Daphnia pulex: one gene and its partner. The protein of the gene in region 2 binds, or shares a complex with, the protein of the main gene of each other region. Links are inferred from orthologs where the notes say so. Each region holds a gene or a part of one and is shown on either strand. Other genes may lie near its edges.

Region 1 (6,264 bases), on a different chromosome or scaffold from region 2:
TCCATATTCAAGAGTCTAACAGCCACATCACCATGCCAAATGCCCCGGTGAACGGTACCAAACCTACCCTGACCAATAGGATCTCCAAGTTCGAGCTCGTGAAACGGTATGTCCCACTCTCGAAGCGACAGCTAATGAAAATGAAAAACAAATACAATTGCTTTCAAATTGCAAATAAATAAAATTTGATTCACTAACGCTATTTTGGCGAGGCCAATGACGATCTCCCGATGTTTCAGTGTCAGAGATTTGACTGTCTTGCGAATCAACTCTGTAGGTGCGCTCCGAATCTGTACTCGTCGAATTTGATCCCGAAGTACCAGAAAGACCAGACACGGAGATAATCTTATTCGAATCTTGTGATGCATGTCCACTTGTTGAGTTCTCGACGGAAGGATTTCCGGATGCTGCCAAAGCAAGATTTTGAGAAAAGAATTTTAAATTCGTTACACATTTAAAACACGGTCTAGAATGTAGAAAATTCCAACCAATTATGGTACCTGGACTTAGGGTGGTGACAGAGTTGATAACGGAAGTACTATTCTTTGCCGACAATGGAACGTGGGATAATGGCGATAACAATGTTTCGGCACTTTGTGCTCGATCAGCTTGGCGAACATCTGTTGTTAGATGACCGTAAAAATTTACATCATTACGACTGAAACATATTTTTAAGTTTTAAATAGTACCAGGAAAGCGGAATTGTGTGATTTGTGATGCCGAAGTTGGCGTGTGATTTGCGGAAATGTGCGAAGGTAGAACTAAAGCTGGGCTTGAGGGAGTTGAACTGCTACAGCTAGATGTAGTCGAACTTGAATCAAAATGTGTAGAGTGTAGACCAAAGCCGGACGTCGACCCACCTCCTATGAAGAAAATTGTGAACAAAATTTTACTTCAGAAGTCCAGTCACATGTTTGGCACAGAAAACTAAAGTAAATTGAAGTCAAACCCTGATTCATATGAATGGCAGGTTGTGTCCTGGACTTTTTCTTGTCGTGTGGCGTGAGTCGGTTCAACGAAGGAGACGGAACCGACGTCGTACTACTACCAATCGTATTACTGATTCCAGTTGTTCGCTGCATGATCGGCGTTTGAGGACCTGCAGATGAGTTTTTTGTGATTGACTAAACTTAAAAAGATTCGATGTCTTACTTAACATATGGAGATCACTTACCATCGTTGATACGCTGACGAACATAGTCTATTAAGCCAGGTGGAAGTTTACAGGACGGCGGTACTTTGGTGGCACAATCCCGATGACATTTATATTTACAATCTTTACATTTTAGACCTAGAACCAGACAAAAAATTAAGAAATGATTTTAAGGTACGTATTATGATATGATTTTTTCCCATTAAGACTTGCCTATGAACATTTGCTTCAAGCAGAGGTCACATACTGTCAACATCTTGAAAGTCATCGTAAATCGGTGATTTATGGTATGAGCCATAACGGCCGGTCCGCCAACAGTGGGAGTCCGTGGAGATTTCGGCGTCGCAACAGTTGCTAAACAGAAAACATGAAACATTGGAAAAAAAACAAACAATAAAAGCTAAGGGGAAAAAAATGCAAATTACATTTTGGTATGTCATCATTGGAGTCGTCTGTGATGCTGCAAGGATCGGTGGCCAATCGGTGTCGCCCTTTGGACGGGGTTGAGGAAGTTGGCACGGCACCAGCCGGCGAGGCTCCAGGCAAATTGCTATTCGAAGTTGGTACAGGAGAACTGCTTCCAGTTACCGCCAAGTGTTCCATGCTACGTCCCAGCCAATAAGCGTTAGGTTTGGTACGACGAAAGCGGGACAGAAGCATAGTACTGGCACCACTACAGAGAAAAGTTATACACCCACCACCCATTCACGCGCGACAATAACGAGGCCATTTAATTACCACGAGTAGAACGTGGATTAATGTTGTTACCAAAATATTTAAATCCAAGCCAATAAGCCATGTAAACCCAATTTGAAGGTAATGGAAACATAGTTAGTTAGTAAAGGACATGGATGGGGGAAATGAATAAAAAGATCATAAAGAACAAAAAATCAGTATTCATGCTAGGTAATATATGAACGTCAGTTAAATGTTTCTGATGCAGTTCTTCTGGTCGAGAATTGTCATCGCCAGCCTTCGTGATGATGTGCATTCGCTTAACAATTCCAAGACATTTCTTAAAATATACATTAATTCTAACATTTCGCTAGAACTGTTGATGCGCTCAGATTTTCGAATAATAAAAGGAATAGTTTTTTTTTACCTGATAATATCATTTCCGTCGATTCTATTGGCTAGCTGGGATTCGTGGGAGGTAGATTTCGTAAGAGGGAAATCCGTCAATAGTGGCGCAGTACCACCAATAACCTGGTTTTTCTTGCGAGGTGGTGGAGTTGCAGGGAATTTCATACGATCTCCTAAATTGGAATTTCATTAGTTTCAACCACGCTAGTTAATAGCCGACTCCATGTATTTTACCTCTTCCTTTTAATAAAGATGGAGTAGAGGGAGGGCTGCGGTTTTCCGAAGTCATTTGCGGAATGGTTTCATGGGCAGTTATTATACTTTGAATGGGGGATGAATTTTGTATAACACTGTCATTGTGCTGTATGTTAGAGGACATTGGCATTGACATTTTTGTAGCATTATCCCAGGAATCCCAGTAAAGCGCTAAGTCAGGTGTTGTTCGGCCACTATTACCTTCCTTTTCATTATGTACCAGAACTTCTGCAATGTCAAAGCTCTTAGAGTTGGATCAGTTAAACATTTTTATAAATGAATATCTTACCAGTATATCTCTTAACACTCTGAAGTGCTCTTATCAAGCGCCTGTATTCATCTTCTTTTGCAGAACACTCATTGAAGATCCTTTTAATTTCATGATCACTGAGTTCTTGCAAAGATTCAAGAGATTGAAATTTGGCACACAAGGTTTCAACAGATGGCTGAGATATTCCAACAACTTGAAGCCATTGCTTGATTGACGGAATGTTTTTGACTTCATATGGTAATCCCTCTATGGGAATTTTGGCTTTTGCAACTAGCTGTTTGCTGAATAATTTGACTAGTTTACCCTGTTAAAATATTGAAATGATTTAATTCAGAAAATTCTTTTAAATAGTAAACATCTTACCTCTATGGTTCTGATTTCTTGTTGAATCAACTCAGCACTGGTAGAGCACTGGGTTCTCAACCCTTCTAGATGTTTAGCATGAATGTCTATCATTGCATTGATATCTAAGAGCGTTTGAATGGTGTTACAGCTGTTGACCACAACAACAGCTTTCTTTGTGATTCCAGTATCCATTCTTAAGGGTATCTATATCTAGTACTTTGGTTGTTATTGCAGAACTTTACGTACGAAATTGCATATTATTCAGACGCAAACCGTCAACACTCAAAGCTCTTCGGACTCCCGACTAATCATGTTTCCAAAGGCTTCCTCACCCACCGTACTTCTTTGTTATATGACTATCCAATGTTTTAGAAATCCATCGCGGTGTATAAGCGGTTTAAACGAACGAAAATGCACAGAGTTCCAATTTCGCAGACGCCATAACAACAATAACTAATGCCATCATAAGCGAATGTATTGCAATACATTACAGTCAGTCAGTATCAATAGAATCACTGATTATTCCATTTTTTCCACTACAGTCCGCGTACTTCTGCATTGTGTAGTAGCCATCTATGGTCCGAAAAATTAAACTGGTGTTGAATCGAGATTTAGTGTGATTTAATGTTATCAGTTATAAAATATTGTTCAATTCATTTGGTCTTGTAAAATACGGTGAATAATTTTATTTGTATGGATTTATTATTTTATTTTAAATGGAATTAGTTTTGTAAATCGATTAAATTGGCATTGGTGTCAAGTCAAGTTACTTTAGGCGCGCTTTACTTGTCTAAGAAGACGACGTGCATTTAGTTCCATACAATTTCGGTTTGTTTTTAATTTAATAAGTTTAATCAATTTAAAAACTAACAAGTTATAGAACATATCTGTAGGAAGTACCTAAATAATCATAATAAGAGGCCTCTGGTATCTAGAGTTTCTTCGGAAATGACTTCCTCGGGAAATCTGCCGTGGGTGGAAAAATATCGACCAAAACAGTTGGATGACTTGATTTCTCACCAAGATATCATTTCAACAAGTAACTCTCTATATAATTCTATTAATTTTCAAAAATGTTTCATTGCATTGCATTTTCTCTAATAAAAATTTGCAGTTCGCAAGTTCATAAATGAAAATCGATTACCTCATTTACTTTTTTATGGACCTCCTGGAACTGGAAAAACAAGCACCATTCTTGGTATTAATATTCAATAAATATTACATTAGATTTTATTTCATGATTTGACTAATCAATTCATTCAAAATTAGCATGCGCGAAAGAACTGTATACACCCCAGCAATTCAATTCCATGGTGAATAATGTTACACAATTAAAATATCCATGTTATATTACATTCTTTCTTAGTTCAAAGACATCCTACAATCTAAAACTTTTTATTTTATGTGAAGGTTCTTGAACTAAATGCTTCTGATGACCGAGGCATCAATGTTGTAAGAAATCAGATCATGAGTTTTGCTAGCACAAGATCAATATTCAAATCAGGCTTCAAACTTATTATCTTGGATGAAGCTGATGCTATGACTAATGATGCTCAAAATGCACTTAGAAGAGGTGATATTTTAAAGAGATCCAACTAGTTATTAAATAAATCATTACCATTTCATGATACATTTTTTCTAGTAATTGAAAAGTTTACTGAAAATGTTCGGTTTTGTCTCATCTGTAATTACATGAGTAAGATCATACCAGCTATCCAGTCACGCTGCACTCGTTTCCGATTCGGCCCATTAAAATCAGATCAAATTTTACCTCGGATGAATTACGTAATTGAAGAAGAAAAGTAAGAGGAGAAAATTAAACTATTCTAATCAAACATTTATTAAACTTTGTAAAATCTTTTCTCCAAATTAGAATTAAGGTCACGGAAGATGGGCGTCAAGCTTTGTTGAGCTTAGCTCATGGCGACATGCGTCGTGTCATAAATATTCTTCAAAGCACCTCAATGGCTTTTGATGAAGTGAATGAAGATCATGTTTACACTTGCGTCGGTATGAAAAAAATGATGTATGCTAATGATTCATGGAAACACATTTTTAATTCTTATTAAATCCTGCCAGGTCATCCTCTTAAATCGGATATTGCAAATGTTGTTTCGTGGATGTTAAACGAAGATTTAACTTCAGCTTATAGCAGTAAGATTTCTGCTCTAGAATTGCTATAAGCTTTTTTTAAATCTGGGGTTGCATGACTAACTTATTTTTAGTTGGCAATCAGCATAATTGAGGGTTTTTTTGGCGGCAGGGATAGTAGAATTCTCATCGTTCCTATAAATGGCTGAATATTAATGTAGGAAAATTCAAGAATATTAAGGAAAGAATGAGTTGGCGAAAGAGGTCGGGGTATCCATTCTACTATCCTTTCCGTCAAGAAAAAATTACGTAGACGAATTTGCCTTCTAAGGCTGGCATGACTGTATATATTAATCAGAATCATGTTCTGGAAATTTATCAAGACGTTATTTATCGCCTAGTCATTAGAAATAAAGTTTCTGTTCGTTTTTATTTTCATCATAGAAATACGCGATCTTCAAACTTTCAAAGGCCTCGCTTTGCAAGATATCTTAACTGAAACGCACTTATACGTTCACAAAAGTAAGTTTTTTTTTCCCCCAATAAGCTCTACAACTGTTAAATTAATTTTGGTTGTTTTTGTGGTCTAGTCGAATTTCCGCCGAACGTCCGAGTCTTTTTACTGGAGAAGATGGCTGATGTTGAATATCGTTTGTCTGCGGGGTGCTCTGAAAAATTACAACTCGGATCCTTGCTTGCTGCCTTTGATTCAATTAAATATTTAATTGCTAAAGAAGTGTCAGTAAATTAAAATTATCCTAATCTAATTCTTCTGGTGTAAGGAGTTGTACTTCCTGAATTACATCAACTATTCATATAGTATGTGTTTCCATCAGTTGTATTTACATTCTAAACAAAAACAACCTCAGATCAGATGCCGAGGTGGAGTAAGGGCTCGCTGACTAGGGTATGATTAAAATATGACAGTCTCGATACAATGAATGAATAAGAGATAAAGAACGAGTACTCACGCAATACGTTGTGTCACAAGCAAAATCCTATTCCTGATTTGTTTGGGGAAGAGATTTCAATAGGTAGTCAGTGTCGAAGTAAGCTACAATGATGG
Region 2 (5,029 bases):
ATACACAAGACGACGTGATAAGCAGGAAGAAACCCATCGAGTTTTTTTTCCTTTTTCTTCTTCTTTCCTATTCTCCTCTAAACGACCGTTTATGCAATACACGAACGAGGCGTACAAACGTGAGCGGCCAAGAGCTTTTGTCACAGCCAGCAGGTGTCCGCGCGCGCAAACTATTTTCACGCTCATTTTTCTTTTTCCCTCTTCTTTTTCGAAATTGCTGTTGTATAATAAACTCGGGGAATCACAACACAACAGCCACTCGAGGAAGAGGAAGAAGAAAAAAAACGGGTCTGAGAGACACTTGGAAAAAGGCGACGGACCGCGACGCAAGTTCTCACGCGCGTCACGGATTTCGATAGAAAATGGATTTAAGTCTTTTTCTTAAAAAAGAGTTCCTGACCGTTGATGGTCTTTTTCATCCAACAGCCCGGCCATGCTCACAACTGTTACGTCGCTATGTAATGTCACACTGACACCTTGTATTATTATATTATTATTATTATATTCATCACCTTTTGTCAAAAAAATTTCGGTTGTTTTTGTTTTTCCCCCCTTTTCTTTCGATCTCATTTTCTCTGTTTCAGTTCGTGCCTCGTTATTATTCTCTCCACCCTTTTATCTCCCATCACAGTTTGTATAGATAACAATCATTTCATTTCACGCATCTCACGTTGCACAAACCAGCGCAGCAGAGTCAAGGGGTGCAGTCTAAAACTCTAAGAAAAAAGAAAATACTTACTCATCATACACAGTGGACTTGAAAAAATCCAACTCACGGTACATGTTGGGTTGTTCACGGTAAACAATTATTTAATTTCTGAAAAGAAAGATAAAACAACCCCCCAAAACAAACCTGACATGAAATTGAGCTTTTCTTTCCCCATTCTCGTAGTGTTCTACTCTACGAGAGACAAGTTTCGTCGGGATATGTACAGCTTTTGACAAGACAAACACAACTGGAAAATAACCTTGGGGTCTTTCACCGACGGCCAAGCGTGATAAACAACTTGAGTTGCGAAACTTGGAAGTTCCCGCAATTGCATTTTTAATTGAAAAGAGAGGGGGGAAAAAGAAAAAAAAAATACCCAGACTTCATCTTCTTCTTCTCAGCGCATGAACTACTAGACATGAATCGCGATCTGGATATATGGTGATTCAACATCTCCTGCTGTTTGCTATCTCCCAAACTTTTGGTCAGAGAGCGCAGATTCAGTCAAGTCCGAACAGCAAACTTGATTATTGGGTAGTGATTTTTTCTTTCTTTCTTTCTTTTGATGTTTGAGGATAGATGCCCTCTCTCCCTCTCTCTCTCAGTGACTTGTTTGACGACCGAGACGGAATACCTAAACAGGGAAGCGGCCTCACAATGAGATGCAGATATTCCACGGACGTTCTTTGGCGGTGCTCTTTCGTGGTTTACCAAATGAAATTATACGCAACGTCGGCAAGTCAACCAACTACATCCAATGCCAATCTAGATGTGAGGGCAGCAGCACACAAGAACAGCGCTGAAACGAGAAAAAAGCGGTTATATTTTTGGCTCAAGAAAAATTGTGTAGAAACCGAAATGAAATTGCAAACGGTCGGTGAATTTGGAAGACGAAAACTGCAAACTGGCAGCGGGTTCGAAACAAAAGAACGTCATTACATCACAGATCCGACGAAAACACCACGTACACTTCAAATAAAGACAACAAGTAAAAAAGAAAAAAAAGAAGAACACGCAATTCAATCTAAATTCAAGCATTGGATGACTCGTCGATGGAGCGACCCGTTTCCAGACGCACGTGAACGCGGTGTTGCTGGCAAACGTTGGAAGTGGATTCCCTGGAACTCGAAGTGGATTCCATCGACGGCGAATGTGACAGGCGGCTAGTGGTCGACGATAGAAATTTAGTGCGAGGTGCTGGGACGGGCGGCATTGAAGAGGAAGTCAAAGAAGATCGAGTCGACGTCAGATGCATTTCCACATTCTTCTCAGACAGACTGTAGGTGCCCGGCTCAAAAACGGGCGGGTACTCGAGTTCTCCACTAGACGGAATCAATGGCGGTGCTGGAGCGGGAGACGATTCTTTGGGGGTTAGCGTGTACGGAAATTGAGTCGTCGAGGAATGGTGGCGCAAAGAACCTCCACCCCCAGTTGAAAAGGCTGGACTCAACGGCGGACCGAACGGCGAATCGGGACCCAAAGGAGTTCGTCGTTGCTTGCCGATCATCGACACGCCCATGGCCGGCTTGAGCAGCGGAGTTTTCGGCGTTCCCGGGCAACTGCCGCTGCTATCTTCAAAAGGCGACATGACGAGCACTCCGCTGTTGCTGGAAACCGACGGACTTTGTAACGGGCTGATCAACGGGGGCGGTCGATGGAGTGAACGATGATGGATGGTCGACGCCGGTGAGTAACGAGGAGAAAACTCGCTCGAGACGGACGAATTAAAACTCGATTGAGATTCGTCTGCTTCCGTACGCTCATCGAAATTCGTGGCCGACTCTTCCGCAACAAACGGACGCAAGTGGGGCTCGCCACTTTCCAACAGCTTCTTACGTTTATCTCTAGAGTTGCCGAAAATAGCCCGATGGAGCCGCGGTGACCCCAAAAGTGTCTTCTGCAGACGGGGTGACGGTGTCGTGGCAGTCGTAAACGGGGGTGAAGACGCTTCAATAACTTTGTTTTTGGCTGGAATGGTTGGCGAGGACGACGTCGTTTTGCGTCCGAATTTAGGCGAAACCAACATTTTAAAGAACTGCTTCGCATCAGCGGCAGCTCCGGTGCTTTTCTGAATGTCAGGATCTGGCGTCGCAGGAGACGTGACGTCCAAATTCATTTCAAAAGCAGCTCTCATTTTGGCGTCGTCTTTGGGACTGAGCGGGAAATTCATTGGCTGATAACAGGATGTACTTTTGAGCCTGGCGCTCGAGTTCTGGTTTGGGTGAAATTCAGAATAATGAGTAAAAATCTCTCGTGAAAATGATACACAGGGAAACAATTAAATGCGTTTGATTACCTTTGGACGATCGGGACTACAGCCATGCTTTCCTGGACTAGTGGTCATTCCATTGCGTAAAGAATTGATCCATAATTGATCTGGCGGACCTTGACGATAACTTTTCCTATTTGGAGAAACATAAAAACCAAACTTAGTATCCATATACATTTGATGCAAAAGGTTATTTCCCTATCTATATGTTGCTTCCAAAGAGATTTTCCATTAAATATAATGGAATCAAAACGGACTAGATGCTCATTAGTGAAAATATAGTTTACTTTTCTTCACTACACGCACTAACAATGGTGTATCAGGAGTGTCGTCACACTGTATTCTGGAATCTCCACCCCACACTCTATTCAGCCTAATGAGAAGGGGGGCTTCAAAAGAAATCCCCGCTTAGTGAGCCAACTATAACGACGGGGCTCGTTAGTCAGAGCAAAGGGGGGCAAAGTCAGCACAATGTACTTTATTGACTGCCTTTACTGAATAGTGTCTGTACAATAGTCCCACTTCCGAAAAAAGAAAAAGCCCTAACGAACAATTTACGGGCCATATAGTGCGCAAAATTGCAGACGAAGTTGGTCCACACATCACATAGTGATGCACAACTATAACCAGAAAGGAACTTGAGGTAGATTCAAAAGTTCAAGAGTCCTAGAGCGATGCCTCCTGACATAAGAGCTAGTTTCAGACAAGTTCAGTTCATACCCAAAAGGATCCACATTGTTGAAATCAAACACTCCTCGGCTAGGTGAAGCGGGTGAGAGGGAAGCACCAGGTGAGGGCAGTTTAGAAAGGCTGCTGCTGACTCCTCCAGACTTGACGGTGGAACCACAATCGGTGCTTGACCGCCTCGAAGAGCTCACACTGGAACGGCGACCCACAGATTCCAACTTGTGGGGACTTAGAGTGGCAGAACTTCCAGTGCTGCCACTTCGGTAATAGTCGCTGGCACTGCTAGAATTACGCGGCTTGATTTTGGCGTAACCGGATTCCAAACTGCCATAGATGTCTGTGTCACCACAGCTGGAACGATTCAATGAACCATACATGGCTCGACGTTGGACTCCGTCGGTAGGCGTAACGTCAGTAGAAGAATCTAATCCAGCGTTTCGACCCATGATTCGGGCGCTGCTGGGTTTCGGAGCCAACTGAGGCTTAACGGGAGATTTGGGAGATTTCGTATCGATAATTTCAATACTGTGTCGTCGGCTGGGACGGCGTGGAAAGACCGTTGCAGAGCCAGGACGTTCTTTCATTTCCGTCAACGATATTTCTGCTGTGGTATTCAGGTTAGTCTGCTGCAAATGAGGCGTATTGGGCAACTTTGACGTGCTGATGCTTTTTCGGAAGGCGTTGATGGCATCAGAATGGTTCGTCCGCGGGGCAGCACGTTCGGCCGAATGGCGACTAGCTTGGGCATGCTTTGGTTGGATCGGTGATGAGAAATCAAATGAAGATCCGTTTGATTCCACATTGTCTTTCATCACTGTTGGCGACGGTTGCGGTTTGAATGGCGAAGCCGGTTTCGACTCATTAGGAGGCCGTGGTGGAGGTTTGGATCCGTCCATCCAGTAAGGGGAAGGAGGTAATGCGGTCGGCGCAGAAGTGGCAGTTGGTGACGGCGAAGGGCAAGGTTTACGGTAGCTGCGAAATTGGGGTGTTGGTACTGGCTGTTTCTCGGGGGCAACGCGCAAGAAACGCAAGTACTTTCGATCTAAACTGGCTGCCATCGGACTCCGGTTATTGGCCTTCGAAGGAGACTGAGGACTCTTCTCCTCTGTATAGACGTAGGGATTTTCAGGACTCTTTTTAATTCGACCTAAAGTCGCTGTCCCTCCAAACGGAACATTTTTGTGCGAATTCGGCTGGGGCAATGCAGGCGGGATCTTCCCTTTTCTACGACCTAGAGTGGAGGCCAAACCAATTTTATGGTTTTCTGCCTCGTCGAGTGATTCATCTTCTGTTTCACTGTAATAAGCTCCTGAATCATAAATGTCATGTAAGCACAAGTTTCAGGGATGTAATGTTATAAAATG

The links. The genes of interacting proteins can lie anywhere in the genome.
Region 1: the proteins of uncharacterized protein LOC124198601 (region 2) and kinase suppressor of Ras 2-like are in contact, whole or in part, in a cryo-EM structure (PDB 8BW9), measured with the Drosophila melanogaster proteins. The link is inferred for Daphnia pulex from reciprocal best matches to the Drosophila melanogaster genes cnk and ksr. Residues at the interface, in NP_001286524.1 of Drosophila melanogaster: Lys79, Asn80, Asn82, Gln84, Leu88, Glu183, Asn187, Ile190, Gln191, Ile193, Ser194, Asp195, Pro196, Val198, Leu199, Gln200, Pro201, His288, Thr289, Met291; in NP_001287177.1 of Drosophila melanogaster: Arg900, Gly901, Met902, Lys903, Gln904, Ser905, Leu906, Ala907, Gln910, Ser911, Gly912, Arg913, Lys916, Asp917, Met920, Tyr925, Lys945.

The regions. Positions count from the first base shown.
Region 1 is NC_060019.1:3,434,181-3,440,444, forward strand, and holds the start of kinase suppressor of Ras 2-like, read right to left. Parts: upstream 3,670-6,264; 5' UTR 3,300-3,669; coding exon 3,126-3,299; intron 3,067-3,125; coding exon 2,781-3,066; intron 2,720-2,780; coding exon 2,471-2,719; intron 2,410-2,470; coding exon 2,256-2,409; intron 1,827-2,255; coding exon 1,579-1,826; intron 1,508-1,578; coding exon 1,367-1,507; intron 1,292-1,366; coding exon 1,175-1,291; intron 1,100-1,174; coding exon 950-1,099; intron 864-949; coding exon 690-863; intron 621-689; coding exon 501-620; intron 408-500; coding exon 199-407; intron 132-198; coding exon 1-131. Other genes in the region: replication factor C subunit 5-like, read left to right, coding at 4,056-4,146, 4,222-4,305, 4,377-4,420, 4,518-4,680, 4,750-4,909, 4,981-5,117, 5,187-5,261, 5,643-5,720 and 1 more; pyruvate dehydrogenase [acetyl-transferring]-phosphatase 1, mitochondrial-like, read right to left, coding at 6,197-6,264.
Region 2 is NC_060023.1:3,772,737-3,777,765, forward strand, and holds the end of uncharacterized protein LOC124198601, read right to left. Parts: intron 4,975-5,029; coding exon 3,699-4,974; intron 3,112-3,698; coding exon 3,006-3,111; intron 2,922-3,005; coding exon 1,740-2,921; 3' UTR 1,513-1,739; downstream 1-1,512.